2 linked regions of the Oryzias latipes genome follow. The protein of the gene in region 2 interacts with the protein of the main gene of each other region in a pairwise test. Links are inferred from orthologs where the notes say so. Each region holds a gene or a part of one and is shown on either strand. Other genes may lie near its edges.

What was found.
Region 1: the proteins of atf2 (region 2) and atf3 interact in binary tests that used the Homo sapiens proteins (3 or more experiments, as listed by UniProt). The link is inferred for Oryzias latipes from reciprocal best matches to the Homo sapiens genes ATF2 and ATF3.

The regions. Positions count from the first base shown.
Region 1 is NC_019882.2:23,408,934-23,413,353, forward strand, and holds the start of atf3 (cyclic AMP-dependent transcription factor ATF-3), read right to left. Parts: upstream 3,024-4,420; 5' UTR 2,993-3,023; coding exon 2,899-2,992; intron 2,187-2,898; exon of another isoform or gene 2,186-2,186; coding exon of another isoform or gene 2,110-2,185; coding exon 1,934-2,109; intron 1,860-1,933; coding exon 1,752-1,859; intron 650-1,751; coding exon 371-649; 3' UTR 1-370.
Region 2 is NC_019879.2:22,381,453-22,385,982, reverse strand, and holds the start of atf2 (cyclic AMP-dependent transcription factor ATF-2), read left to right. Parts: upstream 1-1,419; 5' UTR 1,420-1,495; intron 1,496-2,120; 5' UTR 2,121-2,148; coding exon 2,149-2,196; intron 2,197-3,043; coding exon 3,044-3,140; intron 3,141-3,240; coding exon 3,241-3,359; intron 3,360-3,462; coding exon 3,463-3,588; intron 3,589-3,912; coding exon 3,913-4,091; intron 4,092-4,530. Other genes in the region: atp5mc3 (ATP synthase F(0) complex subunit C3, mitochondrial), read left to right, coding at 130-320, 411-525. UniProt on the Homo sapiens protein: Transcriptional activator which regulates the transcription of various genes, including those involved in anti-apoptosis, cell growth, and DNA damage response.

The sequences.
Region 1 (4,420 bases), on a different chromosome or scaffold from region 2:
TCTTTCTCCTGACATCGGACAGAGCCAGGTTGTTTGGGAAAATCGGAACATACAGCAGTCATTCAGTAATTGTTCTCACTTTGGTGCTGCTGCTGTGCAGGCCGGGCTGAGCCAACAGAAAAAGTGCTTTGTTGAAATCTGACTTCAGTGCAACACACCAACATAACCATCAGGAAAGCTTTGATATGTGTAATGTCAAAAAAAATGCATGACAGATGTCCCCCTCCCTCACAACCCTCAGTGCATAGTCAGGTTTTTGCAGCTTTGTGTGAGCCAAGTGTGGCCCGCAGTCCTTTCTGGGTCAGGCCTGTTCAGGTCAGGCTAACACTCAGCTAGTCTCTGATGTTGGTAGGGGGCAGCCTCTGCTCAGTCATAGATCAGCGGGACAGCAAATGTGGTCAAGGCTTAGCGGGCCCCCCCCCAGCAAGCCCTCTGTGGTGGAGGTGAGGCTGTGAAGCTGGAAGTTGCTCTCCTTGATGTGCTGGAGGAAGAGGTTCCTCTCGTCCTCTGGGGTTTGTCCGTCCTGGGCCCGGACGATGCAGGTGGGTCGGTGCAGGTTCAGCATGTAGACCAGCTGCTGCTTCTGCTGCTTGAGCTCCTCGATCTGAGCCTTCAGGTCAGCGTTGATGCTTTCCAGCTTCTCTGACTCCTAACAGGAGCAGACGCAGAACAAACGGGGCTCAGTCTTTTGGAACATCAGGTGGAGGGATCAGAAAGCTGCTTTGGTTAAAAAAGTTCCAGGTCTGAAACCAAAAGAAGCTGCTGAAGAGAAACCAAGATCCGGGACACGCTTTTCATTTGAGGATAAATGTTTTTTGACAACTTTAATTCTTACCAAACTTTTATCTTCTTTTCCTCATGAAATTGTATTTCCATTTGTAAAATGCCTCAAATTCAGATCTTTTTTCTAGAAAGACTAATTCCACCTCAGAGAATCTGTTAAGTCTCTATACCATTGTCCAGGTGAATACTTAATTCTGATTGGTTGCAGTGTGTATATTTCAAAGTGATATCCCACACCTAAAAAAGAAGTTCCAGTCACACCCCCCAAATGTTCCTTATCACTGCAGTGGCCTAAACACAAGTCGGTATTCCGATTATCACCATTAAAACATAAACAAACATAGTTTGTCATGCCTTATTCCAGATTATTACAACAGTAAGACAGTAGAAAACATGAGTGATTTTATAGTTTCCTTTCACCTGTTTGGTTAATTTGATCTTTTTAGAGACTGCAGCAAAAGAGAACGAGAGAGAAGTGGATCTAGAAGGAAGAAATACGACAAGAGGAGGAACTGAACTATTTAGACTTTACAGTTAGTTTCTTTGAAACAAACTTTAACTTCCTCATCTGGACAAAAAGAAGCAGTAAGACGTGAACTTTCACACTGAACTGATGCTTTATTCAACCCATCAGCATATGAATCACTTTCTTTTGCCGCTGCAGTCTCTATGGCCATTACCATGACAACGTACTGCATATAACTTAGTCTGATTTTTGTGAAAACCTAAAAAAAAAAACAAGAATAAAGTACTAAATATTTCTTTGGGAAGTGACCATAGTATAAGCAGAATAATCTGCATTATCAGAAATGATGAAGGTTCACAGAGGCAACCTTCAGGCTTCCGTTTCAAGCACACAGAAGCTACATATCTGCTAAATGAGTAAACTGTGATGGTAGTAAGACACTTGGTCTCATGCATGTCCTCCAAAGAGCTCCTGGTTACAGCCTGGTGAAAACAGAGTTTACCTTCTGCAGACCTTCAGTCTTCTCCTTCTTCTTGCTGCGGCATTTTGCAGCAGCAATCTTATTCCTCTCTCGCCTCCTCTTCTTCCTGTCGTGCTCCTCTAGCGTCAGCTGAAACCCACACAGAGTTCTGAATAAAGAATCCACTCAGCAACAGACTGGCGTGGGGGGAGTACCTGCCTCACCTCTCTCTTGACCCCTGACTCGTGGGTGGGCGGGGCCTGGTCCGAGGCAGAGCTGGCGCTGTCAGAACTGGCGTCTGCACTGAGCCCGCAGGACAGTCGCTTGTTCTGGATGACCTGACGGAGCTCCTCCTTCACTATGGGGGTGAAGTTGGTGAAGTCTTCTAGAGTGAGTTCTCCTGGGGGGGACAGGCAGGGGACCAGGGCTGAGCAGCTGATGTCAGCCAATGACGGTCCCAGGTGCTGCAGCATCATTCTGGAGACACGGCAGACTTTCAGTCACAGTCAGGCTCAGCGTCCCCCCTCCCACCATTTGTCTTTCTGGTTTTGGACTTTCTTTAGCCCCTTCCTGAACACGCCCTCTGCTTTTTACAAGAAATACTTTGCTCTGGAACTTTTTTAGTTTTTTTTTAGCTAATGTTGCACTTATATGTGGCTTGGTGTTTTTTTATCTAGTATTTGTGTAGTATCAATGTTTTTCCACACAGGTTTCCAGTAGCATAAACTAACTGACTACATTCAGGCAGAAACGCCCACATGAACCCTAAAGATCTCTGACTGCTAACCAGAGACTTCCAGGACAGATTCTGCTGAGTAATAATGACATCATGAAGATAAAGAGTCAACACATTTGTTGTGTAACAGCAGGTGAAGGAGGTTCTGCTCCTTCAGAGGAACATCCGCGGCTACAACGGAAGAAGAACTTCTGATCATCACACCGGTTCGATTCCCTCCCTAAGGCGTTTTTGAGTGTTATTTACTGACTGAAGGTAAACTGGTAAGCAGAAAACGAAGGTTAAAGCGGAGGATTCAAATAGAAACACTTCCATGAACAGAAACTAAGTCTTTCAACGAGAAGCACCTACAAACAGTTTGCTTTCTGTTTAGAGCCACGGCCGGACCGGACCGGACCGGACCGGCGGAAAAGCGCCCCCCTTCCCCGCCTCCAGCACAAGACAGGAACGCACCTTTGAAAGTTCTGGTTCCGGCTCTGGTTCCGGCGTGGACTGCTCCGTTCGGTTCCGCAGTACTGAGTTGCGCTTCTCGTCTCTCCCGTTGCATCACCCACTTATAGGAACTCCAGGGGCGGGGCTTAGTGACGCAGTACCTAGGAATCCTACTAGACTGCGAGGGTAGGAGGGGTGGGGGTGGGGAGGGGGATGACATCATCTTATTTATAGACTCTGATCCAGTGATGATGCCACCCAAGGACCAAAACGGGGGTCCCCTTCTCCCCCCAAAGCACCTGAGATAGATAGATAGATAGATAGATAGATAGATAGATAGATAGATAGATAGATAGATAGATAGATAGATAGATAGATAGATAGATAGATAGATAGATAGATAGATAGATAGATAGATAGATAGATAGATAGATAGATAGATATAGATTCAGGTAAATACATAAAATTAAATGGCTTTTAACTTTTAAAACATTCTTTTTGATCACTTTCCTTTTTTTTCTCTTTAGAGATCTGTTTTCCTCCTGCACCCCCCCCCCCCGTTTGTAAATGGGTCACTACTGTTGTAAACTAAAATTTAAAAATGTAAACTTTTACAACTTTTTAAAACATAAATCTAAAACGTTGTTCCAGAATAAATCAACTTAAACTCTAAATAACTTTATTTTGCTCTACTCTCAAAATTAAACAAGATAGAAATAAAGTAAATATTAAAGAAAAAAATTCAAATTTCATTAAACATGTCATTTTATACAAAAATTAAGTTCAAATTGTAAATATCCCAAAAGATTTTATTCTCCATAAGATTATATCCTGCCCAAATTATACAAATTCAGCGTTTACAAATCATATCATTCTGTTTTCTTTACTCCTGTGTCATTTGATCAGAGCTGAACGTCTGGCATCGTTTTGTGTCACACAGTTGGTTTGTGTTTGCTGTGAGGTTCTGTGTTGTGGAGATTCTCAGGATGGACTGCAGGTGATCATCAGTGAGACGACAGCTGTCTGCTGTTTAGTTAGTCTTCATCACTGAGAAGAGCTTCTCTCACAGAAATGTGCATCCAAACATGCACAAAGGTGGAGCCATATGTAGACGGAGCTGGGGCATTTCTGCAGGAATGGAGAGAATAACCCTTGTGCTATCTTAGATTCCCCCCCCCCCCCCCCCTTCCATTGACGTGTTCTCCCTACCATGACAAAGGTGGATAAAGGTGGAAAGATTTCATGTAATCCATGGACACCAGTGAAGATAACATATCATTGAAGAAAAAAGGTTCACTGTCTAGTGCAGTGGTTCCCAAACTTTTTCTGCAGGGCCCCCCTTTCTGAAGATTAGAATATTTTCAAGCCCCCCCAGACTGACACAAACATACAAATCCTTTGTTTCTAAACTCCACTGGACTTTACTTAACATTGTAAGTCATACAAAATGGCAACTTCTTCCTGAACAAAACCAAAAAAACAAAAACAAATCACCTTTACAATTAATTAAAGTGACACTGTCACTAGTGACACTAGTGTGATT
Region 2 (4,530 bases):
AACAAAGTTTATAAACACTTTTGTATTATTGACTACTTGTGGTGTTTTTTTAACAGTAACTGTATTTCCCATGCCTGTCTGTGGTGTTTCTTTGAAGTGAATGTTTTCATTTTTTGTCTTTCGCTGCAGAGCTCTGTTGCTGTGATGCCACAAAGCCCCCTCACACAGGTCACACTGAGAGGCTTCCAGACCAGTGCCATCAGCAGGGACATTGACACCGCCGCCAAGTTCATTGGTGCTGGAGCCGCTACAGTCGGAGTCGCTGGATCTGGTGCTGGAATTGGAACAGTGTTCGGTAGTCTCATTATTGGCTATGCCAGGTTTGTTGCCATTTGGTCACTGTGTACATGTTTTTTTGGGGTACAATTCAAATGTTTTCTTTACATTTATTGACTTCTTTTTGTTTGCAGGAACCCATCTTTGAAGCAGCAGCTGTTCTCATATGCCATCCTGGGTTTCGCCCTGTCTGAAGCTATGGGACTATTCTGTTTGATGGTTGCTTTTCTGATCCTGTTTGCAATGTAAAGCACTGCCCTCCCAACACTTTCATTACAGATGTGACTACATATTTTATTGTGGCTTCTAAAATTGTTCAGTGTTGGTGTCATGGAAATGTAAATTTTTCAAGTCTTTCCGACACAGTCAAAATTAAACAAAACATGTACAAACATAACAATGTGCGTGAATTTAATACATGCATTTGAGTATTTATCAGTGGCAGCAACGTCTATGTCTGGAATATCATGGTAACTGAAAGCAGTTTGCTCTCACAAATGTCAGAACATCTTCTCCCCTTGTGAATCAACTTGCTTTCTGAGAGTTATATGGGGTCCACCGTCATAAGCACTTAACTCAGTTGCAGTTAAGTAGAACTGTAAGAGGCAACAAGTGATTACTTGCTTTTGTAAATCACGTTGAATAAATCTAGATTGAATTATAATTTGGGTTTTTGAATTTATTTCCCGACCCCAACAGGGTTTCGAGGTTTGTCAAATGAATGAGTTGCCACTAAAACGGTCCATCAGAACAAAATTCTCAGTTAAAAAGTAATTGTCATTTGGAAGTCAGTAAATTAGTAATATTTGGCAACAAAGTTGACCAAATGTTTTTTTTTTTTTGTAATATAAATTACCCATGTGGTTTGTTTACTGCTTCAATCAAAAATAGTTCCTTGTGATTTAATTTAATATAGAGTACACGATAATGTTTCTCTAAATTGAATTGTTTTAAAGAAATTTGGCCTTTGAGTAAAAAAGGAATGTTAACTTGAGGTGGTTCCGTAGACTGTAAATAAAGTTGTAATGCAGTAGAAATGATGGCAATTATTTATAAAATATTGAATTTATGGGTAAATGGGTAAATTTATGGGTAAATGGGTTTATTAGTGTCCATTAGTATGTTTACGGCGTTTGGGTTAGTGTGACGTTTACGGAAGAAGAAATTGTTTTCTCGCGATACTTTGGGGTTTGGGAAAACAACGTTTGTGGCTAAAGGGGTAAGTAACAACTCAAATTGAAAGCGAGTTTTATTACAAATGCAAAAAAGGGCACCCTTTATCTGAAATCGGTGTTATTTTCTTCCAAGTGAAATTAATCCCCCTCAAATTAAATACCAAAAGGTTATCTGTTTAGTGATTTGTTGGTTCTAACATGGCGACGGCTGTGCGTTATCTCAGCTCAGGCTGGAGCGGAGGATCGGATCATAATGTAGCTTTTGTTGTGTGATGACTTTAGTCGGAATTAAACGTGAAACTTTTTTTTCCAACAAAAAACATGCATAATTTCTTTGTTCGTGTTGAAAAATACACAATCCGAACGACCACACACCGAACGACCCTGCACTGCATCACCGAGCTAATAAATAAGCACAGACAGAGCAACCCCACCTCCTCACTGGCTTTGTCCAAAATCTTATTTGTCCTTTCACTAGATTTGCCCTTAACAGTCCCACTCGAGTCTCGAGTCATTTCTACTATTATCTAAAAATTAACCCTCTAACCCTCCTTTTGATCAGCCACGATTACGTGGTTGTCTTTTCTGTGGCTGTTGAATTTATTTCTGTTTTAAATGGAAATTAAGTTAATTGAGATGAAATATGTTGTTTTTATTCATTTATTGTAGGACAAAAATATAGCAAGAATTTCTTAATATGAGTGATGACAAACCCTTCCAGTGTACTGCTCCAGGATGTGGACAGGTAAGCTGACATAGTTCTTCATAGTTTTTATTTCTTTTTAGTTAGTGATTCAGTTATTTTTATTTTTTGAAAAATAGAAGGAAAAAAACCAATTCCAATGTGTTGTAAATTTATATGGTGGAGTTGTTGAGCTTACATCTTTACATTCTAGATTATTTAAAAACGTTGAAGGTATTATAATATTACATGTTTTGAGATACGGTAGTTGTATTTCTCCAGAGACTAACTTTAATATATATATATATATATATATATATATATATATATATGCATCAAATATGGTAACCAAATATTTGGGTACTCAATGTGTACATTTTACATACATTTGCTATCTTTGCTGATAATATCGAATAATTCAACTAAAAAACGTAGTTTGTGCATTCTTATCAGACATTTTAAAAGCTGAAGTTACTGTTTGAAGGATTTGTGATTATTTGTGGTACAGATAAATCCACTTAAAAACAGAATCACTGGAGTTAATAAAAGCCTGAGTCTGCATCCAATTTGAGGATTCACAAAAGGGTCAAATAATAAAAAGCATCTCTTTTTTGAAGTCACATCAACTGTTTAATTTCTAGTGCCAAAGTAAAGTTGGCTAAAGGGTAAAAATATGTAATTATTGTGGTAAATGTACGCGCACAGTCACAATAAACATAAAAACACACATTAAGCCTATGTTTATGTTTATTTAGGGTTTGATTTCTTTGGATTTTAGCAATGCACCGTTTACTTTTTGAAATTGTTAGTATTTTAACATATTTAACATTGTGAGTCATTGTTGTCTCTCAAAGGATATGCAGAATAAAGTTGTTTTTTTATTCATTTATTTCCTTTTTACCTTGCTCAGAGATTTACAAATGAAGACCACTTGGCTGTCCACAGACACAAACACGAGATGACACTAAAGTTTGGCCCAGCGAGGACCGACAATATCATAATTGCTGGTGAGTCCTTCTTAAGTTTTATGTCTATAGATGTTTGTGTGTTTTTGCCTCCTTAAGTGTGATTTTTTTCTTCTTTTATCTTTTCTTTTCTCTATTACAGATCAAACGCCGACACCCACTCGCTTTTTGAAAAACTGCGAGGAAGTCGGGCTTTTCAACGAACTTGCCAGTCCTTTTGACCATGACTTCAAAAAAGCAGCTGAAGATGACTTGAAGAAGGTTGAGTTTGTTCTGTAACTTCTGTCAAATCTTCTCTTAGGATGATCTCTGAAGTCCAGAGTTTATATCTGCTTTTTTTCTTTTTCTTTTAACCTTCCCAAAGCTACCTCTGGATTTGTCACCTCTTGCTACACCAGTCATACGCAACAAAACTGAGGAACCCGCAGCTGTAGATGCACATCGGAACAGCCCCCTTCCTCATCCTGAGTCCACCACAAACGATGACAAGGTAGATTTTTTTCTGTTTAGTTAGCTCTCTAATGGGTTTTAGGAGTGCTATTAAACATGAATAATTAAGAATCCTCCTGTTTCTGTAATCATTCATTTACTATAGAAATTGTACTTCTTCTTTCACCTGCTTGAATTCTTCGATTTATTTGTTTTTTATTTTCAAACCCCACTCTCTTTTTTTTTTTTATTCAAACACTGCTCTTAATTTTGATTTGGAAATCCTAAAACCAACCAAAAAAATATTTGCAAAAAGTTCTTGTAACTAACTAAGCTGGTGTTCACTAAACATTTCTGCAGCTAAGGTCTTGTATGATGTTTTCAGGACTTAACTTTGCAGCCTGCCTCACTGCCAACATCCACTATAGTCCATCCTGCATCCCTCCAAGTTCCCAATGTACTTCTAGCAACCACGGACGCTAATGTTGTAATACAGCCAGCTCTCCCATCGCCAACATCTAGCTCTGTTATTACCCAGGTTCCATCCACTAATAGACCCATAGTGTAAGTAACGGAATGCGTCCATTTTTAAAACAAATCTTAGTTTTTAGTTTTTTTTAATCATTTTTGTGTAGTTTTGTGCATTTTGTGAGGCATGTGCTTGTATTTTATGTTTATTTTTTTAATCAATCTGCACTCTGGTGTAAGTCTTTCATTTTGTTGTAAACGCCAAATCAACTGTGAATTCTTCCAATTTTAGCGACATCTTTAAAAAGCTACTCACATTATGTACTGTTCAAAAATATAGATTTATTTTTAGGCTACTATTTTACTTCTAACACACCAGCATAAGTCAACATTTGGAATCCTGTAGCGTAGATTTACTTTCTTGTAGGTCTGCACAATAAGTCGCAAATTTATCGTTATCGCATTGTCAAGCTGTGATATATGCATATCGCAAAAGTCGGTGAAAATGGCAATAAATGTTAACCCTAAATGTGTT